3 linked regions of the Mus musculus genome follow. The protein of the gene in region 1 purifies or fractionates together with the protein of each later gene. This does not show direct contact. Links are inferred from orthologs where the notes say so. Each region holds a gene or a part of one and is shown in the gene's direction. Other genes may lie near its edges.

Region 1 (11,173 bases):
GCAGAGATGAGAGTGATACATGCCCAAGCCAAGGCATCCAGGAGTGTAGCAGCTCCTGGTAGTGGGTGAAAGGCACAGAACAGAACCCCCTACAGTCTTTAGAGAACACAGCCCCATCTACACTTGACATTGGCTTCTTGAATGATGTAAGTATATGTATTAAGCCACTCCATTTGTGGTAATTTCTTTTGGCCCATTCACTAGAAAAAAAGGCATTGGTCAGTGCAGTGGTTCTCAACCTGTATGTTGTGACGCCTTTTGGGGTTGAATGACTCTTTCACAGGGATCACCTAAGACCTTCAGAAAACATTACAATTCATAACAGTAGCAAAATTACAGTTCTGAAGTAGCAATGAAAAGAATGTCATGTGTAGGAAGCCAACTCTAAGATGGCGCCGGTTTCCGGTGTGCCGTTGTCATAAACAACATCAGCGCAGGTGTAAGCCCGAGTCTGGCACCAACCCCTCCCGAGCAGGTGCATGCAAATTAGGTGCCGGCCAACTGACCAATCCCAGGGGGCCACGAAGCCTCTCCCTGTGCTGGGGTGCATATAAGCAGACTTCCCTGGGTCCCCGTAGCAGCATCGAGGCGATCCTGCAATAAAGGCTGTTGAGAAGAATCCGACCGTGTTGTGTCTTCCTTGCCGGCTGAGGTGGGGCGACAGTCATGGTTTGGGGTCACCATAGCACCAGGAACTGTATTAAAGGGTCATATCGTTAGGAAGTTTGAGGTCCATTGGGCTAGTGAAACAAAAGGGGAAACAGATGGGAACATTGCTTCTTCAGAGTCTGGTCTCTATCCCTCTTGGAAGGGGATTTATCATTACAGTTTTGCATTGTGGAATTTCAGTAGTGATGAGTAGTGATGAGGCGATGCCTGAGGACCAAGGCCAGGGTGCAGGGTCTGCTGGGGCAGAATGCCTAGGTTCATGAGGATTCCACAGAATTGCTGATGGGTCTCAGTTACAAAATGAGATAACATAATTTGCTCATTCTAAGGTGTCTAGATACGTTTGTGTTCTACTGGCTGTCCACATCTATTTTATTTTTGGATTATTTTTTTTTGAGAGAGGGCCTAACCCTGTAGCTTAGGATGGCTTTGGATGTTTTATCCTTTCTCACAAGCCTTCCAAGTGAGGGGAAAACAGGCACAATCATAGCACAAAAACATCTTTGATAATCTTCAGGGCTAGTGGTGTCTAGAGGAAATTGCTGAAGTCTGAAAATCTTTTTCCTATCAGTGACTGGAGCGGCCATCAGTCCCAGTAAGTCCTATGCAGAGTGGACAGTCCATGGAAAGGCACACTGTGTACTGGGCAGCTTCAGGTTTCTGTAACGCTTCCTCCTTGTAGAGTGAACAGGACATTTGGGCTCTGGGGTTATCCTGGCTTTCCGGGTTTCCTCTCTCAGAAGTACACACAGCTCATATTCCTCTTCTATCTATACTCTGGGTTTCAGTTTAGACTTCATGGCTTTGGAAAACATCTACTTGATCCAAAAGTCGAGGTCAGGGGTGCTCGAATGGCTTTCTGGACATCTTGCATTTCTGCACCTAGCATTTGTACTACAATCGCCTGATCACTGGTGGCAGACTAGAGTCTAGGGCAGCAGTTCTCAACTGTGGGTTGAGACCCCTTTGGTGGGGGCCACATATCAGATGTCCTGCATATCAGATGTTTATATTAGGATTTACAACAGTGGCAACACTACAGCTATGAAGTAGCAATGAATTGATTTTATGGTTGGGGGCGTGGCAAGATGAGGATCTGTATTAAAGGGTCACAGCATTAGAAATGTTTGAGAACCACTGTTCTAGGGCCAGATCCTGTGAACAACTTGCTTACTGTTTGTATTTTACTTTTGTTGCTTTAACAAAACACCTGGCAAAGGCAATATCAAGGAAGTGTTAATTGGCTTGCAGTTTGAGCATGGCATCCTTGCTATGGCAAAAGAGGTATGGGACCCCTGGCCACACTGTGCTTGCAGTCAGCAAAGATGAGTGCCCCTTCTCAGCCAACCTCCTCTCCCCTATTTTCCCTGGGGCCACAACCACATTTAGGGTGGGTCTTCCACCTCAATTAACACAATGTGGAAACTCCCTCACAGGCATGTTTGCTTCTAGGTGTTCTAGGTCCTGTTGACTTGACATCATTATTAATCATCACTCACACTGTTAAAGCATGACCAATATAATAAGTGTACATTAAGTAAATGATGCTAAAGTACAGGGCATTGCCAACAGCCTGTAGTGGGGTCTTTGTTGCTTTGGTCCAGGCTTCAAAAACAGACCGACTGACAGACAATCGAAATGGGCAGGGCATTGGTAACATGCACGGAAGGAAAGATATCTTGCTTCTAGTTCTGGGTCCCATTTGGGAGCTTCCATCCTCTTTATCTGTCTTCTGTTTCTCTCTCTAGTTCCCCTGAATATTGTTTTAGGTTTAGGATTATTTGCTCCCTTGCATGCAGGAAAAAAGAAAGAAAGAAAGAATTACCCAAGGGCTGGCAAGATGGCTCAACCAGTATGAGCACTGACTGCTTTTCCAAAGGTCCCGAGTTCAAATCCCAGCAACCACATGGTGGCTCACAACCACCCGTAATGAGATCTGACACCTTCTTCTGGTGTGTCTGAAGACAGCTACAGTGTACTTACATATAATAAATAAATAAATCTTAAAAAAAAAAAGAATTACCCAAGAATGGTCAACTAATCTAATTCTTCTCCTGTGGAAAATCCACAATGCTTTAAGTCCCAGTAAAGACCAAGTGAATTAATACATCTCTAGAAAGTTCCTTTGGCATCACAGTCAAGAACTTTAGAGGCTAACATTTAGGGTGCAAGTGGGGTTTCCAGTAGGTAGGTGTTTTCCTTCTTAAGTCTCCTTTCCACAATGATGCTGGATAATCACCCTATCTTTGATATTAGAAAATATTTCCTAGTAATATTGATGTGGCATTGACTAAGGTCATTTATTCCTTAAGCCTAATTATGCATATGTTGATTTTCTCCCAGGATACATTATGCAGTGCTCTATCATAGAAAGTCATAAGTATTTTTCTACAGTGAAGGTTATTTATTCGTTCAACATTCAGGTGATTTTTATCGGAGCACCAAATGTGTTAAGCATGAAGCCCTGCCCTAGGAGAACCTATAATTCAGGAGAGGTGAACATCTACTAATAAGTACCCAAACTAGCTTTAAGTGTTAGAAATAAAATCAAGAGATTGTTGGGGTAGAGAATAAAGTGAACATTGAAGTGAGAATTAAGAGGAGAAAGGGGCTGGAGAGATGGCTCAGCGAAGAGCACTTGCTGCTCTTCCGGGAGACCCAATTCAGATTCCTGGTGCCCATTCACAGCTGTCTATAACTTCAGCTGCATGGGATCCTAAGCCTCTGGCTTCCAAGAGCACCTGCTCTTACATACATGCACACACCAGCAGACATAGCGACAGATAGACACACAGCCAATAATCTTTAAAAAAAATTGCAGCTAGATAAGCCGGCAGTGGTGGGGCACACCTTTGATCCCAGCACTAGGGAGGCAGAGGCAAGTGGGGCTAGCCTGAACTACCTACCGAAAGAGTTCCAGGGCAGTATGGGCTACACAGAGAAACCCTGTTTCGAAAACAAAACATAACAAAACAAAATTGCAATTTGTAAAAAGGAGAGAAGAGAAAGAATTCAGGCCTCGCAAATGGGGTCATAGTCACCTTATGCATGTTAAAAATAGACTCCAATCTCTTCCACTGCAGGATAGATGCATAGGCTAAAACGCCGGGCTGCCAGCACTAAGGATGGCTGACAAGAGGGCGGAGCGTGCGCGTCCCCGATTGGCCAACTGTAGAGTGACGTCACGAGGCAGAGCCTCTGGGCTCCCGGCAGCTCCTGGGTGGGGAGCGGCGCTGCCTGCGACCCGGCACCTTGGCACTGGGCACCCAGGGGCACGCTGGGGCTGGTGGGGACGGAGCGCCTCGTGGCCGAGCATGGCGGGCTCGCTGCCTCCCTGCGTGGTTGACTGCGGCACCGGGTAAGAGCCGCGCCCCACGCGCCCACTCACGCTTCGCTGGGCGTCCTGGAGCCATTTCCCCGCGGGGTCAGACGGCAGGAGGAGCGCGGAGGGATGGTGCACGGAGGGATGGTGTGCTGAGGGACAGAGCTCAGTCTGAGGGGTTGGGGAGTTTGAGGGATAGAGCTTAGGTGGGGTGGGAGCTGGGGGACGGAGCTCAATCTGAGGGCTTAGAGAGTTAAGGGATGTGGCTCTGAGAAGATGGGGTGCTGAGGGCATGAGGCTGCGGGGTTACCGGGTGGGCTGCACCTTGCCGGGATGTTGCTGCAGATACTTTCTCTGCAGGGCTTGCACCTGAGAGCTCAGAGTAGTTCCTCTCCCCCCCATCCCCGGGGTGCTTGTCACCTGTCCTCATCCTGTGCACTCACGCGCGCGCGCGTGTCACCTTTCCCTACTGATGTACCAACCACCTACTCGTGGAGATGTTTACACGTGCCATGTCAACTTGACACCCAGTCCCCTTTCCCACTCTGCTCTTTTCCACTCTGAAATGGCACAGCCTAGCCCAGCTCCTGCTTTGGTTTGCATACACTTATCTTTGCTCTTAAAACACACACACACACACACACACACACACACACACACACACACACATTAAAAAAAGACTAACATTTTGAAAAAAAAACAGCCCTCTCCTTTTTGGGGAAGTAGATAACTCTTTTCTTTTTTGAAGATGTTAATTTTTCAGAAGAGACCTTAAGAATGGCTTATGCTGTCAGGCTTAGCTAATTTTAGGAAGGTGGCAGCCAAACCTCCAACCTGGGAGTTTGGGAGTACCTGCTGGCATTGCTGACAAAGTACTTCATAAATAGCTTGCAAATAAATTTAGCCTCTTAAAATGTTTTTCAAGGGATGGTAATCCTTTGTCACCGAATAGTCTGTGGCATGTTCTCTTGCAATTCTTTCCTGTAGAAAAATATACTTGGTTTGGTTTCCTTGACAACCTTGTGGGGGTGTCTTCTAATTTGCTACAGTCCATCTCCTACTGATGTGTCTTTCCTTTTGTTGCTCCGGAACCAGCAGTGGTTACAGACTGGAAAACATGTTCTATTTCTGCTAATTTTTCTTTTGGAAATAAACGTTATAGAGAAGTTTTGTTGCCCTGTATTTGAGAAGTTGCTGACTTCCCTAGACTTGCTCAAATCAGTATGGCTCTTGTGGACCATTCCCCCATGTGTTGGCTCCCCTTACTGTCTCACTCTATCTGCCACTCCCTTCAGTCTGGAAGTGTCAGCAATGAGGGCAATATGTAAACATTGTTTTTATGTTAATGTCTGCATGTGAGAACTTTGGCTTTGTGTTGCCTAAACTGCTGAGACTTGAAGCTCTCTCTGCGCAGTGTTAACAGTAAAGCAGCACTCCCTGGGCCATCTGTGCTGTATTTCTTATTAGTAAGCTGACACCGTATCCATTGTTCTTGCTATAATGATCTAAAGAGTGCTCAGTCTTGACCTTTTGGGGTCAGTGACTGATGTCACCTTCACCTTCAGTAGATCGTCATGGCCCAAAGCTGTGCTTCAGGCTAGCATCTTTAGGCTGTCAGAGGCTCTGGACTCAGTGACAGGGACCTGGGGTTTCCTGTGGGTGTTTTCTGCCACTGAAGCCCCTGTGGCTATCACGAGTCCCCAGTGTTCAGTGTGTGAGCAGAAGATGACTGCATAGCCTAAGCGTTCCAGCTTCCATGTATTAGTGATTCTTGCATTTCTTGTTTTGGATTGAGTTTTACCTCAGAATAGAACTAAATGTAAAATGCAGCTAAAAATAACAAGGACTGAGGAACATAATAGACTTGGGAGATCTCATTTTAGACTGAGTTTTACCTTAGAATAGAACAGTGCAGCTAAAAATAGCCAGGATTGAGGAACAGAATACACTTGGGAGACTCATCACGTGGGCACTACTGATGAGATGGGCAGGTTTTTGTTTTGTTTTGTGTTGGTGGTGGTAGTAGACGTAGAACCTGGGGATCTTGTTAAGTGGAGCCTCTACCACTGAATTGCACCCTGAGTTCCAGTCTTGTCTGTCAGTGTGCCCTCTCTCTGCTTCCCTGTCTCACTGTCTGTCTTTCTCTCTCTGATACCCACCCCCTCTTAAATAGAGTCTTCTTGTTGTATAACCCAAGCTTGTACTGAACTTGGAGAAATCCTCCTGCCTCAGCCTCCTAAGCATTAGGATTGCAGTTGTGTGCCCACATGCTCATCTGGCCTGTGTTTTATAGTAAATACATTTCTTTTGTGACCTCAAATCCGATGAACCCCGAGACCAGATGAGTGTACACAAGTATGCTGGGGACAAGATAGAAACAGACAAAGGTATCTGTGAGACCCACAATTAAGTTTCAGCTTTTTAAAGGATGAATAGGCTGCCGAGCTCCCAGAGAAAACGCCACCAATTCAGTCTCACGTCTCACCCAAATGTTTAAAGTAGTTTTACATAGTCAAACTGACTTTGAAGCAATTCCAGGTCCCTGAGAACCGGGAGAGAACAAACTCCAGGCTGCATCCCTCCAGTTTCAGCAGCTTTGCACACTGTGTCCTCTGGACTCCTTAATGTGCCGCTCTTACTTTTCTGAGCTGCTTAAAAGAAGGTTCTCGGCACCTCCCTCTTACAGGTCAGTGTCTGCCTTCTGAGCGAGAGCAGGGATTCACATGATCACAGACCAGTTATTCAAGTCAGAGATGTTAACATGGATGCTGCAGTGCTGTGCTGTCTGCCATCTGCACTTGTGAGCAGTTTCGTTTCTTGTCTTTTTTGGAGTCTAATCCTGTCTAGCATTGCCTCATTATATTTGGTGGTCATGTTTTTAAGGGGATGGAGTGAGGTCCTGTTATGTAACCCCTGCTTCAGCCTCTTGACTATTGCATGTCCTCCCATGCCTGGTCGCTATGTTATTTATAGCTCATGTCTTCTGGAAGAGTTCCTTAGTCTTTTTTTTTTTTTTTTGTCTTTCAAGATATATCCTTTTGATAGTTATATATATAACAAGGATATAACAATATATATATATATTGCCCCTCGATTTTGTCTGTCTGGTGTTTCTGGTAGATAGAGGTTGTGCAATTTTGTAAGGGTTGCCATAGAATCTGTTGCTCTTCCCTTGTGCATTTCATCAAAAAGCCTAGCACAGCATCTACCTCATTCCTTTAAAAGTGTGTTTGTTTGTTTGTTTGTTTGTGGAGACAGGGTTTTTTTGTGTAGCCCTTGTGGGTCTGAGGCCTCTCTCTCTCTCTGGGTGTCCAGACCCGCTGCACACTGGGCTGGAAAGATGAAGCAGAGTCCAGATGGGGCAGGATCCTGGTTGGCTCAGAGCTAGTGGTGGGAGTTGGGAGAGAGAAGGCCTCCTTTCTTCAGGGATCCTAGTGCCATAACTCTCTTCGGCCAAGGCCTTCTCTGATGGTCTTCAATGAACCAGCTCTTTGAGACAGTCTCAGCTTGTGCATATTTATTTGGAGTGGGTTTGTAACCATACACTTTATTCAGGAGAACCAAGGGTTATATAGGTTTGGGGAAGAGGATAAGAGTATCCAGGCAAAGGCCACAAAGGCTTAAGGTTCTGAGATGCCTCATCAACATGGGGAGGCATTCCAGGAATCTTAGGTGCAGTCTTCATGGCAGTCCTTAGCTGTGGGATCCAGGATCCTCCAGTGAAGAGGAAGCCGGGCTAACAAAGGAAGACTACCATTTGCATCAAGCTCAGGGTGCTCTAGTAATGTCAGACTTTGACCTTAGGAGCAGGGTTTCTCAATAGCTTTGGCTATTTGGCTGTCTTAGAACTCACTCTTTAGACCAGGCTGGCCCAGAACTCAGAGATCCTCCTGCCTCTGCCTCCCAAGTGCTCAGATTAAAGGTGTGTGACACCAAAGGCCAACTTAAAACATTTTTAAAATTAGTATGTATTAACTATACATAACCATCAGTTCTATGATGACATTTTCACATGTGTATAGAATGCATTTCAGGACTGAGGAGGTAGCTCAGCCATTAAAGGCTAGGCTCAGCACCAGAGAATCAAGAGTTCAGCTTCCAAAATGTGGCACACCTCTCTTGTCCCCTTCTCACTCCCTCCTGCTAACTCCTTCGTCTTTTCAAATAGCCCTACTTCTCCGTGCATGCGTCTGTGGTGGTGGAGGGGGCAGTGAGTTCCATAAAGGTTGAAGCACGGACACCTTACTAGTGGCTACACCACTAAAGAAAGTGGCCCTCCCCACTAATTCTGTAGAAATCCTCAGAGGAGTGGGCTGCTGAACCCGTTCCTTCCAGGAGAAGAAGGCAACTGGTCCAGTTCTGTGTAGTTCTTGTGCAGGGAATCATAGGTGGTATGAGCTCAAGGGTACCACTGCTATGCCATGCCTGGAATTCAAAGACAGACTCAGCACCATTCCATTCCCTGCTGGCTCACTCTTAATTTTTTTTTTAAAAAAAGATTTATTTATTTTTTGATGTAAGTACACTGTTGCTGTCTTCAGACACTAGAAAAGGTCATCAGATCTCATTACAGATGGTTGTGAGCCATCATGTGGTTGCTGGGAATTGAACTCAGGTCCTCTGGAAAAGCAGTCAGTGCCCTAAATCACTAGCTCTCCAGCCCCCCACCCCCAACATTATGTCCACTTCTGTTTCTGACTTGTTCCCTGAGCCGTGGAGCGGGCAACATAGATTCCCAGTTGTGGTTGGTCATTTAGTAGTCATTTATTCTAAGAATTTGGACAGGCTCTGTCCAAGCGACTGGAGACCACTGTAACAAAAGAAACTTCTGTGGGCACCAGTGTCTGACACAGACAAGACCTGTGATGTCTCCAGCAGGAAGGCCTTCGCTCTGGCGGATATCCAGCATGCTGTGATTGCCTGTATTGCTTAGTGAAGCTCAGGGGCCTTCCTGACCAACACATGGGGAGCTAGCTTACCCCTGGCCCTCAGATTTTCATTCAGTAACTTAGGGCTCCTGGGAGTAGCTTCATCTTCTCATGTGAGCTACCTTTGCTCAAACTCCTTTGAAATTATTTTTTTAATTTTAAAAAAGATTTGGTTCTTTTTATTATGTGTGCAGGTGTTTTGTCTGCCTCTGTGTGTGTGCACCATGTGCGTGCTGTGGCGATCAGAGGAGGGGGATGGCTTCTCTGGAACCAGTTACAGATGCTTGTTAGCCTCCATGTGGCTGCTGAGAACTGAAGTCTGATCCTCTGGTAGAGCAGCTAGTGCTCTTAACCAATGAGCCATTTCTCCAGCCCCAACTTTTGTATATTTTTTGAGACAGGATTTCATTATGTACACCTAGCTGATGTGGAACTCACTATATAGCCTGGCTTTCTCTGTAACTCATAAAGATCCACCTGCCACTCGATCCCAGTGCTGAGATCATAAGGCAAATGCTGCCATACCCAGCTCATTTTAAAATTTATTTATCAAGTATTAGATTTTCTTAGGGCATTTTCATACATCATTAGTTCTGGGTTGGACCTCTCCCTCCTCCCCTATGTTAGCCCTCCCCTCCTCCCCTATGTTAGCCCTCCCCTCCTCCCCTATGTTAGCCCTCCCCTCCTCCCCTATGTTAGCCCTCTCCCTCCTCCCCTATGTTAGCCCTCTCCCTCCTCCCCTATGTTAGCCCTCTCCCTCCTCCCCTATGTTAGCCCTCCCCCTCCTCCCCTATGTCAGCCCTCTCCCTCCTCCCCTATGTTAGCCCTCCCCCTCCTCCCCTATGTTAGCCCTCTCCCTCCTCCCCTATGTTAGCCCTCCCCTCCTCCCCTATGTTAGCCCTCTCCCTCCTCCCCTATGTTAGCCCTCTCCCTCCTCCCCTATGTTAGCCCTCCCCTCCTCCCCTATGTTAGCCCTCTCCCTCCTCCCCTATGTTAGCCCTCTCCCTCCTCCCCTATGTTAGCCCTCTCCCTCCTCCCCTATGTTAGCCCTCCCCTCCTCCTCTATGGTTGGCTCTCTCTCATCTCCCTTATCTCTCTACCTCTCTTTTCTTGATTAGACCCGTAAACATTCTTCTTCTACGTGTGTATCACATGGGTTCTACTGCCCGCCTCACCAAATAATCTTTCCTCCTTTCTCATGGGTCCTATATACACTCCCATGTAATACATATGTACAAATTAGAAGCTAGGACTTACATTGTAGAGCTCGTGTGTTATTTGTCATTCTGTGCCTGGATTGCTCCACTTCATATAATATTTTTCAATCCCATACATTATAAAGCAATTTTTCTTTTTCTTTATGGTTGACAAAAGTTCCATATGTGTACCACCTTTCTTTGTCTATTCATTAGTTGATGGTTATCTAGGCTGTTTTTCTTAGCTTGTGAATACAGTGGCAATAAACATAAATGTGCAAGAATCCCCGTGATAAGATTCGGACTTTTTTGGGCACATAACCAGGGGTGGTATAGCTAGGTCATGGAAGTCTGTGAACCTCCACACTGATTTTATGGCGGCTGTGTAAGTTTACACTCCCACTAGTAATGAATAAGGGTTCTCTCCTCGCATCCTCGCTGACACTTGTTATCATGTTTTCTCATTAATAGCCATTCTAACTGGACTGAGATGGACTCTCTTCTAGACCTTTAAATTTTATGTGTATGCATATATGTATGTGTAGTTTTGCCTGCACATATGTGTGTGTACCACATGTGTGAAGTGTCTGTGGAGGCCAGCAGAGGGCTTTGGATCCCATGGAATGGAGTTATAGATGATTTTGGGCCACCATGTGGTTGCTGGGAACCAAACCTGGGTCCTCTTCGAGGTGGGCAGGTGCTCTTACCTTCAGCGTGATGGCTCCAGCCTTGTTCTGTATGAAATTTAGTGTGGTACTGGAATGTGTTAGAGGTTGTGTTGACTTCAGAGATTGCTGTGACGTTCGTCCTTTCAGTGAGAGTAGGGGTCTTTCTCCATGTTCTGTTGTCTTCCTCAGTTTTTTTTTCTCTTCATTGTTGAGGACTAGGTGTATTCCCAGGATTTTATTATTATTTTTGTGGTCATGGTGAGTGGAATTATTTCCCTGCTTTCATTCTCAGTAGTTTTGTCGCTGGCCTATAGGAAAGCTGTTGATTTTTGTATGATAATTTTGCATTGTGCCACTTTGCTGAAAGTGTTTATCAGCTCTGTGAGTTTT
Region 2 (10,698 bases), about 97 Mb from region 1:
TGTAGGTGTTTCTGAAGACTGTGTTGGTTCCGAGAGTATCACGGTGGAAAGTGAGAACTGATGTCCCCCACCTTGCATTGTGGTAAAAGTACAAAACTAAGCCAGGTGTGGTGGCGCACGCCTTTAATCCCGGCACTCGGGAGGCAGAGGCAGGCGGATTTCTGAGTTAGAGGCCAGCCTGGTCTACAGAGTGAGTTCCAGGACAGCCAGGGCTACACAGAGAAACCCTGTCTCGAAAAACCAAAAAAAAAAAAAAAAAAGTAAAAAACTAGACATAGCAGAAGGGTAAATCAGGCGACTGAGTGGTACTGGATTTGAAGCTGAAGCCGGGAAATGAGAAAAAAAACCCAAAAAACAAAACCGGGAGCTGATTATTAACCACTTGCGAGGGAGTCTTCAATTTCAAAATCCAGCCTTTTATTCTGAACGTGCTTTATGCATGCGCCACGGTCATCGCCTCACGCTGACGCGCCCCCTGGCGTCACTTGCGGTCAGCGCAGCCGGAGCAAGTCACCGGAAGTGCGTTTATTCCTTCCGCCCGCCTCTTCCGGCTTACTTCCGCCCACTCCACCCAGGCTCGGTCGTCGGAAACGCTTTCTGAGTTCGGCTTCTCTGGATCGAATCCGGACACCGTCAAGATGCCGGTAAGCATTCGAGCCCCAGGGGCGGGGAGCCGAGCGGGGCGAGGGTCCGAGGGGTGGCAGGAGATCTGTGTCATAAGGCCGGGGAGAGAGGAAGCGTCCGCCCTGATCTCCAGCCTTTGCCTCCAACACCGGCTCGCCTGCCCCGCCGCTTCCCCCCTAACCCTGCCGTGTTCCCAGATCCCACCCTAGAGCCTCGAACCTAAGAACGATGGCTGGCTTTTAATTTATTTTTAAGTCTAAGGTCCAGCTTCTCCTTTTTTTTTTTTTTTTTTTTAAATTTCCCCCTTGTCATTTCCACTTCCTCCTCCACCCCAGGGAGTGGGATCGGCCTGCTACCTAGTCACCTGTCAGACCTCACTTCCCTGATGGACCCCTTCCTCCGTCTCCCTGCTCTGACTCCCACCCGACTCCCTGACCACCACCGAGCCAGCGCTGGTTTCCTTTTTCGTGTGCATCCGAGTGGGAGGAAATTGATGCCGATTGCAGCTTAGCGAAGGGACGCTTGAATAGCGTGCACCCACACTGAACCAGTGTTACTGACCTCTCGCTGTGAAGCCAGCATTGTTGACAGCAGCGACTAAGGGCCACTCAAGGAGCTCACAGTTTAACGGGTAGACAGTAACCATGCAAATGCACATAGGAAGTAGTTTCCTATCTTAACAACTGCTGTGACGAAAACAGATAGATGGCAGTTAGCCTACCCCTATCGCTCAGTTATCGCTCATCCCAATACCGAGGCAGGAGGATGGCAAAGTTCAGGCCAATGTGGACTATGTAGTGAGTTCTAGGCCATCCTGGGCTACAGAACTGCAAAGCCTGTCTCCCAAGAAATGGGGGAAGAAAAAAAAAAAAAAAGAGGCTTGCATGCAGGAGGTGGGGTCACAAGGTACAGCAGCTCATGCCTGTGACCCCAGCTCTGGGGAGGCAAAGGACAGGCAGATCTTCTGGCTTATTGGCCAGCCAGCCCAGCCAAAAATAAGCAAGTTCTGGGTTCAATGAAAGACGATGTCACAGGAAATAAATATATATATAGAGAGAGATAGTAGGGGCTGAGGAGGTGTCTCAGTGGTACAAATGAGAGGACCTGAGTCTGGATGCTTAGCACCCAAGTAAAACAGAAGGGGCGGGGGGAGGGCATGCAAAGCGTGTCTGCAGTTTCGGAGCTGGGGATGTGTAGAGTTCCCTGAGGCTCCTTGTCTCAAAAATAAAGTGGAAAGCAGTTAAGAAACAGACCTATGGCCTCCACCTGTGGATATGAGCATACATACCTACATGCACACATATGCACACACGTGAACATGAACACTACACACACACACACACACACACACACACACATGTACACATGCATGGTCATGTGCAAAATAAAACTAAAAACAAAAACCAGTACCTGGTGACAGGGATTGGGAGAACAGGGGACCCGGGGATGTGGGCAAGAGGCTGGCATAAATAAGGCTTATTTATAATGAGTAGGAGAGCAAGCCTAACTTTGAACAGTGTGCATGTGTTTGAGTAGCAGTGGGGAATTGACCCCAGGGCCTCATGGCATGCTACATAGATGCTCTACCACTGAGCAGTATTCCCCCATCTTTTTTACTTTTGAAAAGGGGTCTTATAAAATTGCCCAGACTGGCCTTGTAGTTGTGATCCTCCTGCCTCAGCCTCCTAGGTAGCCAGGATGACAAGCCCGTCCGGCATCACCGTGTTTGGCTTTGGAAGATTCATGATTCCTATAGTTAGTATATGTGAAGACCCAGAGTTACTGTCCAAATGAGCCCCCGCATCTCCGGATGACACTGTCTTCCAGAGGTCTTGAGTTCAGTTACTAGCACCCACAGGGCAATTTACTACCTATAATCGGATCTGATGCCCTCTTCTAGTATGTAGGCATACAGTTTTCTAAAAATGATGTGGCATGAAAGTTTTTAGTAGGTGGGGCAGATTTATAGAATATTGGCTTTTGAAGGGTTGTTTACCATTAATGGAGGGAAATTCCCAGCATTCTCAAACTACCCTTTAAGAGCACTGGAGTTTTGTCCCCAGCATCCACATCCAGCAGGTGCCAGCTGCCTATAAGTCCAGCTCCAGGGACCCCAGCACCATCTGCTGGACTCTGTGGGTACTGCATACACACAGAAATACCCGTCCACAGATATAGTGCACACACATAATATATTTTTTGTTTTGTTTTGTTTTTGTTTTTTTGAGACAGGGTTTCTCTGTGTAGCCCTGGCTGTCCAGGAACTCACTCTGTAGACCAGGCTGGCCTCGAACTCAGAAATCCACCTGCCTCTGCCTCCGAGTGCTGGGATTAAAGGCATGCGCCACCACGCCCGGCTATAAGATATTTTTTAATCTTTAAAAAAAAAATCACGCTGAGCAGTTGGTAGCATGCACATTTAATCTCAGCACTTGGGAGGCAGAGGCAGGCAGATTTCTGAGTTCGAAATCATAGGACCAGCATTTGAGATTGTTCATCCACACAGTTCCCTCTCCTTTAGCTCATACGCACTCACCAAAGGTGTGGTGTATCTTGCTCATTTATAAGTTTAGAAGCAGACTGGTGGGAACTGGAGTAGAGTTGAGTTGGTAGAGCATTCGCCTGTCATGTCTGAAGCACTAGGTTTACTCGCCAGTACTGTGGTTATCTAGATCCATCATCCCAGCAATGGGAGACAGAGGCAGGAGCGTAAGAAGTTCAAAGTCATCGTCCCCTGTGAAGTAAGTGAGAGGCCAGCCTGGGCTAACCTGCATAGTAAGTGAGAGGCCAGCCTGGGCTAACCTGCATAGTAAGTGAGAGGCCAGCCTGGGCTACCTGCATAGTAAGTGAGAGGCCAGCCTGGGCTACCTGCATAGTAAGTGAGAGGCCAGCCTGGGCTACCTGTTGTGGTTGAAGGGGGTGGGGGTGGGGAAACAGGTTCCAGGAAGAATCGACCTGTGGTCATAAGGACAGGAAGTGGCAGATTTCAAAGCCAGGCCTTGGGTCCTGGTTTGCTGGAGGGTGGGAAACCTGTTTTGTGTGGTCTCTGTAGTAGAGTGTTTCAGCTTGCATCATGTCACGGAGTGCAGAACTGGAGGAAGCGCATCCTTCCATAATGCACGTCTAGCCTAAGGATGCAATCCCAGGAGGCACAGGCAGGCGGATCTTTGTAAGCTTGAGGTCAGCTTGGTCTACCTAGGGAGTCCCAGGTCAGCCAGGGCTGCTTGGAGTAGTGAGAGCCTGTCTCAAAAAGCTGACGTTGGGGGCATTCAGTCAGTGAAACACTTGCCACTCAAGCACGAGCACTTGAGTTCTGTCCCAGACTTCACGAAAGTGGCCAGATGTGGTGGCATCTGTCTATAAGCCTAGTGCTGGAGAGGCAAAGACAGGAGGATCTGTGGGGCTTGCTGGCGGCCTGTCTGTCCAGGTGGTGAGCTTCAGGTTCAATGACAGCCCCTGTCCTGAATATAAAGGTGGAGAAGCAACTGAGGAGGTCACCTGATGATGACCTCTGACATGTGCACACATGAGCACCCAGATTCATGAACACACACTCACACACACTCTCACACACGATACTAATAGGAAAAAAAAAGAACCTGGTCTCAAAAAAAAGCTCTGTGTGTGTGTGTGTGTGTGTGTGAGTGAGAGAGAGAGAGAGAGAGAGAGAGAGAGAGAGAGAGAGAGAGAGAATGAGAATATGAAGATCTAAAGAACATGGGCAGGGCCTGACGGGACAGGAGAGATGGCTCAGCAGTTAAGAGCGCTAGCTGCTCTGTCTTAGTCAGGGTTTCTATTCCTGCACAAACATCATGACCAAGAAACAGTTGGGGAGGAAAAGGTTTATTCAGCTTACTCTTCCACATTGCTGTTCATCACCAAAGAAAGTCAGGACTGGAATTCAAACAGGTCAGGAAGCAGGAGCTGATGCAGAAGCCATGGAGAGATGTTCTTTACAGGCTTGCTTCCCCTGGCTTACTCAGCCTGCTCTCTTATAAAACCAAGACTACCAGCCCAGAGATGGTCCCATCCACAAGGGGCCTTTCCCCCTTGATCACTAATTGAGAAAATGCCCCACAGCTGGATCTCATGGAGGCATTTCCCCAACTGAAGCTCCTTTCTCTGTGATAACACCAGTTGTGTCAAGTTGACACAAAACTAGCCAGTACACTGCTCTTTCAGGAAGTCCAGGTTCAACTCCCAGCACCCTGTTCCAAGGGATCCCACACCCTCACACAAACATGCATGCAGGCAAAACACCAATTACACAAAATACAAATAAATTATTTTTTAGAAAAGAATATAAATAATAAAGACAGGCATAGTGGTACTGAATAGTGAGACCCTGTCTTGACAAAACAAAACAAGAAGGAGAACATTAATAAAATGAAGTAAAATTAGTAGAAGACAGTGGTAAAGTGTAATTTTTTTATTTTTTGGTTTTTCGAGACAGGGTTCCTCTGTGTAGCACTGGCTGTCCTGGAACGCACTCTGTAGACCAGGTTGGCCTCGAACTCAGAAATCCACCTGCCTCTGCCTCCCAAGTGCTGGGATTAAAGGCGTGTACCACCATGCCCGGCTCTGATATATATATATATTTTTTTTTTATGATGGGGTTTGAGGTACTGCCTACCTCTGTTTTCCGTGTCTAGTTTAGTGTGAGCGGAGGGCTACGCTTATCCACCAGCTGACAGAACGTCTCAGAATCCACCAGTTGGTTCTCTTGAGTCAGGCGCTGGCTCCCCGTAAGCCGACGCCAGCCCTTTTCTCCCACAGTTGGTCCTCGCCTTGTCTCCTGGTGACACTTGTTTTCTCTCTTCCCTGGGCTGGCCCCTGCAGGCATACCACTCTTCTCTCATGGACCCGGACACCAAGCTCATCGGTAACATGGCCCTGTTGCCCCTCCGAAGCCAGTTCAAAGGACCCGCCCCTCGCGAGAGTAAGTCTCTGGGTTCTTTTGTTGGGTTCCAAGCAGACCTGCTGACTTGAGAGCAGGGAAGAGCTTAGCTTGAGTCACTCTTCCTTGGCTTCCTGTCACACTTGACCAGGAGCAGCCTGTTGCGCTCCACAGGAAACTGGTTCAAACTCCTCCAGGATGTTTACGTGAGCTGAAAGGAAATGTGGGCTGTGGGGCGTGGCCCCGTTGGTAGAGACATGGCTTGGCCTGCATGAGACCCCCAAGTTCCATTGAGAGCCAGGGGATGTGGTACACACCTGAAATCCTAGCACTTAGGAGGAGGCGGCCGGAAGATCTGGAGTTCAAAGTCGTTCTCAGCTAGCTCCAGGCCAACCTGGGCTACTGAAACTCTGTCTCAAAAAAAAAAAAAAAAAAGGAATTGTGTTGAATTCTGGCCACAGTCCCCACAGGCACTGTCAGTTATTTCAGACTAACTGAATGGCAGGTCCCCAGCCTTCTTCTGACAGCATTGTGTGGGCATAGGCAGTACCTCGGAGGCTGAGATAAGGAGGTGGCTGGAGTCTGGTAGTTCAAGACCTACCTAAGCAAGGGTGAAACCTGTCTCCAAAAACAAGGAAAATGAACCTTTCCCCCACCAAAGCTATGACTTCTTTGGTCACCTTTAAAAAAAAAAGTCACTTGCTTTTGATTCTGACTTGTGTGTGAGGGCCCACGGGAGCCACAGCACACAGTTAGAGGTGACACCTGGTTCTTACATGAGTCCCAAGGGTCCTAACTCCGGTGACGGAGCTCTCTCTGCAAGCGCGCTTACCCGCTGAGCCATCTCCACAGCCCTCTGTCAGATTCTCACCATACCCCAGTGTTAGACCTTTCTCGGATGTGTGAGAAGGGAATCTCTCTCTAAAACCCTGGTGGGCCTGGAGGTCAAACCACTCTAGCCTCAATTCGTGGTGCTCCTCCTGCCTGCTTCCCCAGTGAGACTCCTGAGTGCTTTGAAACAGTTTATGTCTGTGCTTGCTTTTGTTTTTCTGAATTTTATTTCTTTGCTTTCTTAGTGGTTTTTGTTGTTTGTTCCGTATTTAACTTGTTTGGTTTTGGTGGTGGCTTGTTTTGCTTTCTTTCTTTCTTTTTTTTTTTTTTAAATTTTGCTTTTAAAACAAGAACAAAAAACCAGATGGTTTAAGGAAGCCACCCGAGCTCTGTCAGCTTCTGTGTGGTTAGAGCGGCCATTCTGAGGCCATGGGGCTTCGCCTGGTGTTTCACACTTTTACAAAGGGCAGAGTTGAAAATGGAAAAAGTAGCTTTATGTCCTGGAGTCCTCGAGCCCGTTGTCTGTCCTTCCTCTCTCTGACGCCCCTGGTTCTTGGTCTTCTTTATAGATGTTATCCTGTGCACACCCTTCCACCTGCTTGCATGAGGGCGTTACAGGCTGGGATCCTCGCACGGGGGAGATCGTGCGTTCTTTTCTGTTTGGGGTTTGGATCACCTTGATGGTTGCATGTTCATCCTCTTTCCTGCTCATCTCATGATTTTGTTATCAGGGGGCTGGAGAGATGGCTCAGTGGTTTAGCACACTGGCTGCTCTCCCAGGGGGCCAGGGTTCAAGTCCCAGCACCCACATGGCAGCTTACAGCTGTCTGTAACTCCAGTTCCCGGGAATCTGACGCCCTCACGCAGACACACATGCAGCAATACACCAATGCACATAAAATAAATAAATCTCTAAAAAAGATAAAAACCCTCCTGATTTCACTTACCTTCACAGCCTAGTGATGCTCCGTTTTGTATGGAACTACATTTTCATTGTCTGTTCTTCTGTTGGTGGACAACTAGCTGGGTTCCTTGTCTTTGCTACCGAAATAAAGTAGCGATAAATGCAGATGTGTAGATAAGACTGTGGCAGGACAGGAGGCCTTGGGTATGTGCCCAGGAGTAAAATAGCTGGATCATATGGGAAGTCTATTTTTAATCATCTGAGAACCCTTCAAACTGATCTCCACAATGGCCATGTTAATTTGCACTTTGACTACCAGCCGGTCAGGCTTCCCTTTCCCCCACATCCTCTCTAACATTTGTTGTCAGGTTTTTAAAAAGCATGCTTAGTTTTTTGATTTTAATATATATATGTATGTATGTATGTATGTATGTATATATCTTAAGTTGGACAGTTGTAGGGCACACCTTTCATCCCAGCACTCAAGAGGCAGAGGCAGGGGCTGATGAATCTCTGTGAGTTTGAGGCTCCTGGTTTACAAAGTCAGTTCCAGGAAAGCCAGGGCTACACAGAGAAAACCTATTTCAAAAAATCAAAAATACAAGAGAATTTATTTTATTTTGTGTGTGTGAATGTTTGCCCGTCAGGATGTATATGTACCATATTTGTGCTTGGTGTCCACAGAAGCCAAAGAGGGCATTGGAATTCCTAAAGCTGGTGTTTCAGATGGTTGTGAGCCACAATGTAGGTGCTGGAAACTGAAACCGGGCCCTCTGAAAAGCAGTCAGTGCCCTTAACCACTGAGCCTTCTCTACAGCCTGTGACTAAAGTTAGGGTCTTGCTGTCTAGCCTTGGCTGACCGGTACACCTCCTGATAATTGATTGGCCTTGTGACTCGGGTAAGGTAGTGTCTCCGAGCAGTATAAACTTGTGTATCCCTAAGATCAGGAATGTTGAACACTTTTAAAAATAGTTCCTGGCCATTTGTATCTCTTATTTTGAAAAGAGTCTGCTCATTCACCCATTTATTGATTGGTAGCTGGTGGTCTTGTTTGTGGGGGGTTTTTGTTTTGTTTTAGTTTTTGTTGGGGGGTGTTTGTGTTTTAGACAGGGTTTCTCTGTGTAGTCCTCGCTGTCCTGGAACTCGCACTGTAGACCAGGCTGGCCCCACACCAGAGCTGCCTGCCTCTGCCTCCCGAGTGCCGGGATTAAAGCTGAATTGTGATTTCTTTGATATGTGCTCACAGCTTGGTTTCCCAGTCTAGTCTGAGAAGTTTGGGATTATACACCCTTACTAATTATTGTTTGTAGCCATCAAGACGAAGTGTCCACTCTACCCTCAGCCGCACTCCGGATCCCCCATTCCATTTCTGAGGCAATTTTTCACTGTTCCCGAAGATTTTTTTCTAACACTGACAAGTCTTGAGATGTTCCGCCAACGGCGTCATCCTTTCTGTTGTTGCAGACACAGAGCCCAGACCCTGCAAATGTCTGGCCCGAGTTCCATGCCTGGTCTCCAAGCACACAGTTACAATTCCCACCTGTGTCCCCTTCCCCTTCCCCTTCCTTTTTCTGCCAGGTTATTTGACTTGACTTCCTCTTAAATGAATTTGTTTGCAACACTGGTTGAAATGTAAGTAAATTGAGTAGATCTGGCCATTCACTGCTTCTGAGAAGAAGGAGCAGGTGGGGAAAGACAGCCTTGAGGAGACCTGCAGTACTTAAAAGTTGCTGGCCAGTGAGCCCTGTCACACGGTTACAGATAACACATTGCTCTAGAAGATACAGCCAACTCAGAATGGAGAACATCCTAGCCACCTTCAAGCTGAGTCCTCCAGGGAGAAACAGAACACGTGAGGGTGACTGTCCCTCGTCCCAGAGGGGCTGGAACTGTTGGAGCAGATGTCTGAGATAGGGTTTGTCTGTAGCATGTGGGAGGCCCTGGGTTCGAGCCTCGGCTCTAGAAAAATCCTTTCCTGCTGTGCATGTATCTTTGCGTGCCTCTGTGTGCCAAGCTCTGTGTAGGTCTCCTCCGCCGTCTCCCTTAGGTGCTCTGGAGAAGTTTCCTTTCCTTAGGGGCGGGACGCTAAGGACAGGAAGGTAGAGTTAAAGTTCTGACGCTGACGCGGCCCTCAGAGAAGCACCAGCGAGGCTGTGAGGGAGTGGTAGCCCAGGCCAAGGCTGTCATGTGGTGCTGATGCAGCCAGCTGCTGCACGTCAAACCCGGGAAGTCTGACCTTTCAAAATGAAAAAGAGAGGACAGACTGCCAAAGAGATTGTGTAACGAGATGTGCGTCTGTCACAGAGTGCTCTGGCTTCCCTCAGTTAGTGGCAACTTAGAACCTGCTGGATTTAAGCCATGGTTTTCATAAAAAGAAGGAAATGTCCCCGATGTCCCTAAATAATTTGAGCATTTCTCCTGAGATGACAGTGCGTGGGCTCGAATAAAATTATATCAACACTTGGTTACACTGTGCTCGGGCTAAAGGGAAGGCTCAGAGGTTAAGAGCACTTCCTGCTCCTCCAGAGGACCTACATTGGCCTCACAAGCACCTGTAACTCCGGCTCCAAGGGACCTGGTGCCCTCTGACCTCTGTGGGTATCTGTGCACATGTGGCATACGTACAGACACACATGTAAGGGTTTTGTTTCCTTGGGTTTTTTGAGTTGGTTTGGTTTTGGTTTTGAAGACAGGGTTTCTTTGTGAAGCTCTGGCTTTCTTTGAACTCTTGGAACTCGCCTTGTAGACCAGGGTGGTCTCCAACCAATGGATCTACCTGCCTCTTCCTCCAGAGTGCTGGGAACAAAAGTGGGTACCACCACTGCCGGAATGTGTGCTGCACGGTTCCCTGGGAGCCCAGCAGAGGGCGCTAGATCCCCAGGAACTGAGCCCAGCAGAGCACCTGCAGCGCCTTCCTTGGTTTCCTTTATCCAGGTCTCAATCTTGTGCGGTAGGCTTGGTTGCCTGTGCTCGCCGCCTCTGGGTGTGAGGTTTGCCTTTGGTAATGGTCTCTGCCTTCTCTTGTCTCCCGCTTAGCCAAAGACACGGACATTGTGGATGAAGCCATCTACTACTTCAAGGCCAATGTCTTCTTCAAGAACTATGAAATTAAGGTAACTTCCAAGGAATGCTTAGTTTTCAGAAGGGGATAAAATTCTACCTGGAAGTCAGGTTGCTGTGAGGGCTAAATGGTGAGGGTGACTGTAGGATTTGAGACGAGACCCTGAGGAGGGTGCTGTGTTATAGTTTCTCTTCCTTTCTTGCTTTCTTGCTATCTTGCTTTCTTTATTTCAGATTATTTATTGTAGGCTGGGTGTGGTGGCACACACATTTAATCCCAACACTCAGGAGGCATCCACACAGGTGGATCTATGTGAGTACAGGACCAGCCTGGTCTACAGAGTTAGTTTCAGGATAGCCAGGGCTACACAAAGAAACCTT
Region 3 (10,467 bases), on another chromosome or scaffold:
GTCCAAGCCGGGGAAGGGGCTCTCAGCTCGGGAAGGCAGCCCCCGGCGGCGCACGGTCCGAATGGAGGGCTCCGATCACTAGTTCCGAGCTGGGCATCACTTTGCCTCATACTCCTGCAGACTGCAGGGGACTAGGTTCTGCAGCCAGTCCATCGCACCCCACGCGCGAGTCCGGTCACCCACACTTCACACCGGACCCCAACAACCAGCGGCTGGCACCGACAGCGGCGGCGGCAGCAGCACTCCAGGCCACGCTCCCGAGGTGCCCATAGCCTCCAGCCCAAGACCCCCCGCAAGGCAGGACCGCAGAAAAGCGTTTCTATGGGAACGTCCCGGGCATCACGTGATGCTCCCCGGCGACCAATCGCGTCTCCGCGCCGCCTCTGCCAGCTTTCTGTCGACCCGCCGCCCCCGCCTCCTTCTCCAGCCCCGCCCCTTTCCTGCAGCGGGCCCGCGCGTGCGCGGTGCGTCCCGCGCGCTCCCCTGCCGACGCGCGCTCCCGGGGGACGCGGGGGCGGAGCGGGGGCTGAAGGATGGCTGCAAGCAGAGGAGGAGGCCGAGCCCGCTAGCGCGCAGGCCCAGAAGCTTGCAAGCCGCGGCTGCCGGCGACGCCCCAGAGCGGAAGAGGGAAGTGAGTCGGACCGGGCTGGGCTCGCTAAAGGAGAGGCACCGCGGAGGGGCAGGCCAGCGTCGCGTCGCGATCCGGGATGTCGAAGAACACGGTGTCGTCGGCCCGCTTCCGGAAGGTGGACGTGGACGAATATGACGAGAACAAGTTCGTGGACGAGGAGGACGGCGGCGATGGCCAGGCCGGGCCCGACGAGGGCGAGGTGGACTCGTGCCTACGGCAATATCCTTACGCTCGCGGCGGCCGGGGGTTGTGGGGACGCGGGGCCACGCGACCGGCTGTGCCCGGCTCTAGGTGGGGACGGAGGACAGGAGCTCCCGGGGCCAGCAGGCCGCCTGTACCCCGCGGCCGCGCCGGCGAACTTACCGGCGGCGCCCCGATTCCTCAGGTGCGCGGTCCTAAGCGGCCGCGCCCTCCCCGGGGCACCGCTGGTGTCCTAGTGGGCACCTGAGCCAGTCTCTGCCCGGTGGGGACACGGGCGTCCCGCTTGGAGTCTTGCTTTCCTGTCCGGTGTGTGTGGTTGGCGGAGCGGGGATAGTTTATCCCTAGCCAGGAGAGATGGAGCGGTTCGCAAATCGAGGCCCTCGGTACATTCAGCCCCGGGGCTATTTCATCGGCAGCATTGTTTATTAAGAGAGAAGGGCTTTGGCAAGGTGGCATTATAATTCATGAACGAGCCGAAGGGAGTTTTCTTCTCCAAAATTCCCAGTTAAAGCTTGGAACCTTTCACCTGCTAAGAAAAGGCCACTAAAAAAGGGATAGCGAATGCATGCAGAGAATCCCTGGGAATAATATAAGATGAACCCCAGTGAATAAAGCAGAGAATGAGTCGGTTCTATAAATCAACATTGTTTTTCTGAAATTGTTTCCCTTCTAGTTAAAACATGGCTGTCAGTTCCTGGTTCCTTGGTTTGCATATCTGAATATTCATAACCTCGAAATTCATTTGCATCGATCCCTTAGAAAAATAGAATGTTACAAAAATCCAAACTGGAGCTTTAGAAAAATCGTATTCATTAAGTCTGTTCATACAGCTCTCCCCTCATCAATTTTCTACTAGATTATAATGAAGAAAGTGAGCAAAAACAGTGGTAACCACAGCATCAAACGTACATATATGTGCAGTATAGGTTTAACTTTCATTACCATAACTTTCACAGTTGTTACTAATTTGATTATTTGTTAAAATACTTGGGTTTTTTTTTTCTTTAAAAGACCATGCAGGCTTGACAGTAGTTTATTACCTACTGTAGATAATTTTTTATTAGACCCTTTGCACAGAAATGGTGAGCTTATTCTTTGTTTGTTTGGGTTTTTTTTTTTTTTTTTTTTTTTTTTTTTTTTTAGTCTTTATGGTGGATATATGATATTTTATTAAACTAATGTATTTTAGGTAATTTCTGGTGATTCCTACTGCTGTGTTCATTATCAATTCAGTCTACCTTTTTGTCAATCCATTTTAAAATATAAAGATATTGTCTCTGGTTCTAACTAGGAGAGACTTCAGATTGGTCGGGTACTACAGATGGAGGAACCAGTGACTCTGTTTCTCCTTTTAGGGAAATGACTGTCTGTTCTGACAGTCTGATTGGCCTTCCGTTTCCCCTGCTTGCTAACTCACCAGTGCTTTCAGAGACTGAGTAGGTATGGATGGTCCAGCCCAGTTTGAATAACCTGTAGGAAATAAAGTAAGCTGCCACCTACAGGTCGTGCGGGTTACTACATCATCCAGAGCCCTGTTCATATTAAGCTATTCTTCCATTCTGATTGCCAGAATAATCAGCCAGCATTTCAGTTAATACACAGTGTAGTTTCAGTATAAAGTCTAGGGTTGTTTTCCAGCAAGAGTCACACAGACAAGTGGTATACTTTGTTGGTAAACTGCATCATTTGGTGACCTAATAATTCTTAACACATAGTCTTAAGATTTCTTGAATACCCATCTAGACAATTGCGTGTATCTCACTGGAAAGTGTAATCTATTTGACTGATAGAACTGAGGTCAAAACAGTCTTTGCTTTTTTTTTTTAAATCTATTGTTTAATTCCAGTATTTTTACCATTGGTTGACATGTGGGAAACACACCCATGCAGTTTCTAATATCGAACATAATGACCATAGTAACTTTTGTTACTGTGCAGAAAGTCAAGTCAAAAACCAATATTCCTGTAAAGCAGGGGCCATCCTTTTCTGTTCCACCCTTAACCTTCGTTACAGGAAACATGACAGCTGCTCTCCAGGCTGCTCTGAAAAACCCCCCTATTAACACAAAGAGCCAGGCAGTGAAGGTGAGTTTCAGACTACAGCATTAATCTCTTCTGTTTCACTATTAGCAAAGTCCTTTGATGCCCCACAGTCAACATTGTACCTATTTCCTGTCCTTGACACAAGAGTTTACAGTGTGACTTTTGAGACTGAACCGCAGTCTATAACCTGGTCTGAAACTCAGGAGATCTCCTGCCTCCACTGGGATTAAAGGTATATGCCACCACGTCCAGCTTTAAAGGGAGCTTGTGACAAGTAAAAATGTCATGAAAAAAATAGCCCTGAAATGTAGAGTTAGGAGAGTGCCGTGTGGAGTGCAGTAAATTTAAAGGATAGAGCCATCACTTCTGCGTGTGCTTCAGGAGGAATCCACTCAGGTTGGATTTAAATGGGCTTGAAAAATAAATTTGCCAAACACACACAGCTGCTTCTTGATTTCCTAATTTTGTAAATATTAAATATTATAGAAAACAAAGCATGCGTGACCTTAAAAAGGTGATCTCTGTCCTACTTCCTTGGGTCTTATAGTTTTTCCTAATTTTGTAAATATTATAGAAAACAAAGCATGCAAGCTTAAAAAGGTGATCTCCATGCTATTCCTTGGGTCTCAGTCACTGCCTTATATGGTATCGCTGCACACCTAAGGAGTTTCTACAAGGGTTTGTGCTCTTTTAAAAAATAAATAGAATCTTACACTCCAGCTGTGTAGTCATGTACATGATCTTCTTTCCTTAGCAATAGATTATTTCTGTGGCATTTAACTGCTATACACTAGTATGTAACATCTTATATGCAACTGATCCCTGTTATTGCATGTTAGATTTTCTAGTTTTTCCTGCTAAAATTGATCATTTTAAATCTTAATTATTTATGTCAATAAAATTCCCAGAAGAGAAATGCTAGCACAAAAATGACATTTTTTAAAGACTTTTGATACACAAAGCATTGCCAAATCTCTCAGAAGAGCTTTGTAGCTTACATCCCTACATCAGCCCTCCACTGATTCTTAGGGAACTGCTTAGTTGTTTATTGTTTAAAATGCAGGCTAAGCAAAGCCCTGTAAAAGCCTACATCTCAGGAACCTAAGAACCTTAATTGAAGAGTAATATGTAAAAACATAATAATTATTGCAGCCACAAAACTTTATATTGGGGAATTTTTTTTCTTTGCTCCTTAAAAGTTGTTAGGAACATCATTAAATTTTCAATTTTACCCCTTCTGATTTTATGTGGTTTTGTTTGTTTGTTTGTTGATTTTGTTTTTTGGCAGCTTGTGGATAGGAGGTTATAGCTCTAGATGCAAAGATATATAGGGAAATGTCAGTCAGTCTTTAAACTGAAGAGAACGTTGGCGGTACAAACATTATGTAAAACCCCGCCCATAGGAACTCCGAAGACCCCACTGTGTTGAACAGAAGGAGCAGTGAACAGCTGAGAGGGTGGCTTCCGTGTCCCCTCTGCTTAGACAATGCCTAAGGGGACACCTGTGCTTCTGGAACAGGCTCTCCCAGAGGAGAAGTTCAGAGATAAGTATAGGTAAATCTAACGTCTGTAAGTAGGAAAGTTTAAAAAGTTTTACATGGTTTTAAAAGGGATCTTTTAAGAAAATAACCACTCTTGAAAGATCAAACAAGATAGAATTACATAAATCAGTTTTTTTCTTTGGTTAGGAGTTTTTAAGACCAAGAAGTAAATTTAAATGTTATAATAAATTGTTAAATTTTCCCATCAGTCCATCAGTCTATCAGTCCCCAGTTCTGCCTTCAGTTCTATCAAAAAAAATGTGTTCCTGAGCTGGACGTGGGCGCGCACGGACGTGGGCGCACACCCTTAATCCCACAGCTCAGGAGGCAGAAGCAGGCGGGGGTCTGTGGGCTCCAGACCATCCTGTTCTGCAGAGTAACCTCCAGGACAGCCACAGCTACAAGGAGGAACCCGGTCTCTAAAACAGCAAACCAACAAAGAGAGGGGGTTCCCTTCTTACCACCTCGACTCACATGCCAGCCAGAACCAGCCAGTGTTGTTGGAATCACCCCAGTGGGCTTTTGTCTTACTCCTGCCCTCACTGCTGTCCTCCAGACAGTCTTAAAATGGGAAACAGATTGGGTCACTGCTCTTGAATTTCTCCACCGTGTCGTTTCCCAGTAAAAGCCTGAGCCATTACAGTGGCCCGCTGGCCCTCACATGGCCTGTCCTCTCCTGTCTTCTCTCTTTTGCTCCTGCTTCTGCCACCACACAGCTCTGTCACACCAGAATCTTTGGAACACTCTGAACGCTCTGAAACCCACGCTCACAGCACTTGTTCTTCCTTCATCTAATCGCTGGCCATGTTCCCAAGGAGTCTTCTTTCACATCCTCCACGTCAGTCTTGAGATGTCACTCTAGCAGGGCCTTCCTAAGGTTTTGTGCCCAGCATACACATGTCTAAATATTCTGTTCCACATTTGCCCTCAGGACCGTGCAGGCAGCATCGTCTTGAAGGTGCTTATCTCTTTTAAAGCTAATGATATTGAAAAGGCAGTGCAGTCTCTGGACAAGAACGGTGTGGACCTCCTAATGAAGTATATTTATAAAGGCTTTGAGAGCCCATCTGACAACAGCAGTGCTGTGTTGCTCCAGTGGCATGAAAAGGTAAGTTACAATTTACACATCCCTGTAGCTGGCTCCTTTAAAATGGAAGATGCCACCTCTGTCACCTGAGAAGTGACTTGACTGTACACCTTGACTAAAATGAAAAGTTTACATTTGCTTACCAGCCTTGATCTTAAAGGATTCCTTTTTGCACTGCATATTTATTTGCATATACTTAGTACATAAGTGATTATGTACTTGAAATATGAATTCTTTTACATTAATCAAAGGATAGAAATAGCTGGGCAGTGGTGGCATCCACCTTTAATCCCAGCACTTGGCAGAGGCAGGCGGATTTCTGAGTTCGAGGCCTGCCTGGTCTACAGAGTGAGTTCCAGGACAGCCAGGGTTATACAGAGAAACCCTGTCTCAAAAAAACCAAAAAAAAAAAAGGATAGAAATAACCCAAGATAAAGATTAATATATGGTACCTAGAAACAGTGGGGTGTTACTCATCCATGGAAGGGAATGGAGTTTTTGTACATTCTACAATATAGATAAATCCCAGCAACTACATGATGGCTCACAACCATCCGTAATGAGATCTGACACCCTCTTCTGGTGACACTGAAGACAGCTACAGTGTACTTATATATAATAATAAATAAATCTTTAAAACAAAAAAGAAGTATTTATATTTCTACTTGTGTGAAATAGTCTGAAATAGGCAAGCTCAAAGGGATCGAAAGTTATAATAAGTTGCCAAAGGCCATGGAGAAGGAGTATTTGCCTAGCATTCTTGGTTGATCTCATGCACTGTAGTTTTGTATTTCAAAAATTGTTATCGGCATGTATGGCAGTGTATGTCTCTAGAGAGAGGTATCCCAGGCCAAGCTGGTCTACATAATGAATTATATGCTGTACTGGGAGGCTGGTCTCAGGGAGGAAGAGAAAAGGAAATTATTTTTAGTTCTGTATAAGAATTTAGTAGATAGATGAACCAGGTGACTCAGTTGGTTAGAATTTCGTGCCAGCAAACTTGACAACTTGACTCATTCTCTGAGGCCCACATAATGGGCAGAAAGAACTGACTACCTACACACACACACATTCACGTACATTGTACCCACATACATGTACACAAAGCAAGCTTTCATACCTAGCTCTTGTACTGATAAAATACTAACAATAACATAGCCACATCTCTCCATAGAAACGCTGGGATTCCAGGTGTTAACCATTCAATTTGCCTATGATTTTTTTTGTGTACATTGTGGGAATGTAACTCTGTGAGTTAGCACTTTTGATGTGCTGAGCCATCCTTCAGACCCTGAAAATCAGTTCTTTTTAAAAACCCTTGTCTTAAGTCGGAGTGAAAACATGTGTATAAGATAAAACTAAAAGGAAATTTTGTTGTTGAGCCTTAGTTAAATCACTTTATCTACATACACTACCAAAGAGCTATTTGTGAAAGCCTTCCTTGCAGTATTCCGGTATCGTATCCGTCCTAAGTACAGTGCGCCCTCTCGCTGAACGGAACTTGTGGAGTAATTTGTATGGTCATCTTATTTGGACTCTATTTGCAGGCTCTCTCTATTCTTGCTCACATTTCATTTATTTCTCTTTGACAGAGGTGGGTAGTTTTTCAAGACAGGGGCTCTGTGTGTATCTTGGCTGTCCTGGAATTCACTCTGTAGACCAGGCTTGGCCTTGAACTCAGAGCCATTGCCTTTGTCTCGTGGGGTGCTGGGATTAAAGACGTGCACCACCAACACCCAGATTCAGTACTAGAAGGAGAAACTCACTTTGGTGAGGAGAGCAGCACATATGTTGTCTGGTTTTTCCAGATCTCTCCGGGGTTGACTTTCTGAGTACTCCTCAAGTGCATCTGTACCAGTAGGTCTCTAATGCACACTTTGCGGCATCTCAGAGTGACTGCTATAGTGTCCTAACTGATTTGCACCATTCTGTTTTCTACCCAACTGCTGGAAAGTGATCTAAAATCCAAAGGTATCTTGTCATTCATTGACGACCCATTTATTTCACTCTTCCTTAGGCCTCAGCAGTACCAGCCTTTCCCTGAGTGCACCCCACCCTCACACCTCCACACTGGCTTTTGGTATCTGGCTGTCAGCTTCCCTGACATCTCTTGCTGTCCGGCTAGGCATATGCCCTTACTCTGCTTTTGTAGAACTCGAAGATAGCACACAGCACTTCATACACAATACTGAAATATTCTTCTTGTATAACTGTTAACCAAATAAGTACACCAAAATTTCCAACTGCTAATATTTAATCATGACTCCCAGGTATTCAAGTCAGAGATTCCAAGTTAGAGATCAGCTCTTAGCTCTTAAGTAATACCTTCTTACCATGGGGGGAAATCTGCAAACTGAGTGGAAGTTGGGGTAACTGGTCCCAGCCTCAGGTTCTTCCCAACCTCAGTGAGGGAGGGAGATGGCGAATGTCCTGGGTTTATATTTGAACGTTTTAGTTAGAAACATTGTGCTACAGACATCCTAAACATTCTTTAGACAAGGTGTACTAGAAGAGTGACTAGCGTCTGTTTGGAAGTAAGTTCACAGGGGCTGGAGCCTGAGAGGCTGGTCTTTGTTATGTGTTAAGTCCTAGTAGTAAGACTGTCATCAGCTTTATGCTGAGACCGGCCTGGGCCATAGAGGATGCTCAGGAAGAACTTACCAAGTTAATGAGTTCGGGGTTCTGCCTAACCTTAGACTGACTTCCCTTTGACCTCTTCTGTGTATTTGGTTTGTTTTAGGCCCTTGCTGCTGGAGGAGTGGGGTCCATTGTTCGAGTTTTGACTGCAAGGAAAACCGTGTAGTCCAGCTGGAACTGGACACCGTTCACAGAAGTGGGAGTTGCTGGTATAAAGACCAAAACAACCAAATGGCACCGCTGCCCTGTGGGTAGCATCTGTTTCTCTCAGCTTTGCCTTCTTGCTTCCTTTTTCATATCTGTAAAGAAGAAAATTACATATCAGTTTCCTTTAATGAAAATTGAAATAATGTGGAGAAAATTTTGTCTCAGTGGGGATGTTTGACCCTTTCATAACCATGTCAATAATATGTATCACATTCTGTAATTTATATTCAAGTTTGATTGTGCAATTTCTAACTCTGTTGCCTGGTTTAAGGGTTTTACTTTATTTTTAACCAATACTGAGAGATGTGATCAAAGTTGAGGCCAGTTTCCTAACTCATTGCTGGTCAGGAAGTGATCTTTATTTTTAAAAATGAGAGACTGGCAGCTATTAACATTGCAAAACTGGACCACACTTCCCTTATTTAAGCAAAATGTGTTTCCAGGGCAAGTAGTGGGTGAGCCCTACTACCAGTTTCCAGCCTTCTTTCCGCTTGCCTCCAGATGATGCTATAAGTGTAAGTGTGCTACTTCCTGTTAGCATCCAACTTTCATGGCCTCTCAATCTCTTTGTGGTGACCCAGGGTCCGGAGCAAGGAGTCTTGCTCTATATAAATGTATTTACACAATATAAGCGCCTCTTTGGCACAAACATCCCATTTCCTTCTGGTAATAAGGCTGCCTGGGGAAACAGTCCCAAGTCAGAGACAGGCCTCCAGCAGCCTCTGGATGAAATACTTTCATCAGAAATAAGGTAGCTGCCTTAGCCATTACACAAGTGTTCACTGGAACATTTCCCATGATTTCCCGAGGACGTCTTCAGTGTTCTTCAGGTAATGGGGATCTCAGAAGATTTGGTTCTGATCCAAAGACACAGTCTGTGTTTCAGCTCAGTGTTTTTAAGAAAGAAAAATGCCACATAGTAAAAGAAAAAAAGTGTTTACTTCGTTGGACAAACCAAATTGATTCTCAAAAAATGACCGGTGCTTGTAAAAAGTTATTACAAAGTAGTTCCGAAACCAACCACCTGAATGTGCGTGGCCGAGAGGGAATCAGCCTGCTTGTCTTTCCCTAAGATGCCAACTCCAGAGTCACTGACTGAGGTGAGAACCAGCGCAGAAACTCTATAAACTGCTGTTTTTGATACCTGCTCTTTTTGTTTTGTTCTGTTTTGTAAAATTATGATAAACTTCAGAAAATAAAATGTCAGTGTTGAATAATTTTTTTCTTAATTGAATACTTGTAACTCTCCAGTTAGTTAAGGAGAAGGGCATTCAGTGTAGCTGTCTGTGTGGAAGAGTATGAAGCCACGTGATGAGAGCAGGTAGGGAGAAGAGCCACTAAGGATGCCAGAGCACTGCTGAGGCCTTGGTGTGACTCTATCCCTCTGGGTCTTAGCAGGACGGACCAGTGACCTAGAGGACCAAATTCCTGTAGCTGTCAAAGGCACTCCCAGCTTCCAAGCTCCCCTTGTTACACCTCAGACCTGTTTCTCGCGCCTGCGTGCTCAGCAACTCTGTTTTTCAACTGCCCCTGACTGATTCCTGCTTTCCTCGGGTTAGGACCGTGGCTTAAGTGAAGCTAAGTGGTTCCTATTGGAAGTCGTCAAGCAGTTTAGCACAGCAACCACCTTAGAAACAAGAGGGAGCATGCTTACACTGTTCCCTAAAGTCCCGGGACAAATGGGGATCCATAGTTTAGATCACAGGAATGGATATAGTAAGGTCTTTCAGCCTGGGCTCTGCTAAGTGGATGGTGAAAATGGCCAAGCAGCACAGCCCAGGAACTGAATCAAGGTGGGTGCCTCCTGGAGACAGTGGGCTCAACAAGTGTGTCTGTGGGTCGTGGTAACTAAGACCACCCAGGTGCTTTGGCACACAAGTGCTTCCATGTCGGCCATGTGGGAGCTGGTGTATGTGGAGCCTGAGGTCACTGTCAGGTGTCTTTCAGTTGCATTTCCACCTTATTTTTGAGAGTCACTGAACCTGGAGCTTACCAGTGACTTGACTGACTGGCCAGCAAACGCTGGGGATCCTCTTTCGGCCTCCGTGCTGAGATTACAGACACCACCATGTCTGACCTAGGTTCTAGCTGCCTGAACTTAGGTCTCCTGCTTGTCTCAGC

Evidence for each region.
Region 2: the proteins of Actr3b (region 1) and Arpc3 purify together in Homo sapiens (affinity purification with mass spectrometry; 6 studies listed by BioGRID and IntAct, counting the BioPlex papers as one, with this or other methods). This does not show direct contact. The link is inferred for Mus musculus from reciprocal best matches to the Homo sapiens genes ACTR3B and ARPC3.
Region 3: the proteins of Actr3b (region 1) and Arpc5 purify together in Homo sapiens (affinity purification with mass spectrometry; 5 studies listed by BioGRID and IntAct, counting the BioPlex papers as one, with this or other methods). This does not show direct contact. The link is inferred for Mus musculus from reciprocal best matches to the Homo sapiens genes ACTR3B and ARPC5.

The regions. Positions count from the first base shown.
Region 1 is NC_000071.6:25,756,102-25,767,274, forward strand, and holds the start of Actr3b (actin-related protein 3B), read left to right. Parts: upstream 1-3,871; 5' UTR 3,872-3,983; coding exon 3,984-4,027; intron 4,028-11,173. UniProt on the Homo sapiens protein: Plays a role in the organization of the actin cytoskeleton.
Region 2 is NC_000071.6:122,391,354-122,402,051, forward strand, and holds the start of Arpc3 (actin-related protein 2/3 complex subunit 3), read left to right. Parts: upstream 1-524; 5' UTR 525-638; coding exon 639-644; intron 645-1,185; exon of another isoform or gene 1,186-1,958; intron 1,959-5,463; coding exon 5,464-5,563; intron 5,564-10,293; coding exon 10,294-10,370; intron 10,371-10,698. UniProt on the Homo sapiens protein: Component of the Arp2/3 complex, a multiprotein complex that mediates actin polymerization upon stimulation by nucleation-promoting factor (NPF).
Region 3 is NC_000067.6:152,766,018-152,776,484, forward strand, and holds Arpc5 (actin-related protein 2/3 complex subunit 5), read left to right. Parts: upstream 1-524; 5' UTR 525-707; coding exon 708-850; intron 851-2,843; coding exon 2,844-2,916; intron 2,917-5,346; coding exon 5,347-5,523; intron 5,524-8,242; coding exon 8,243-8,305; 3' UTR 8,306-9,563; downstream 9,564-10,467. UniProt on the Homo sapiens protein: Component of the Arp2/3 complex, a multiprotein complex that mediates actin polymerization upon stimulation by nucleation-promoting factor (NPF).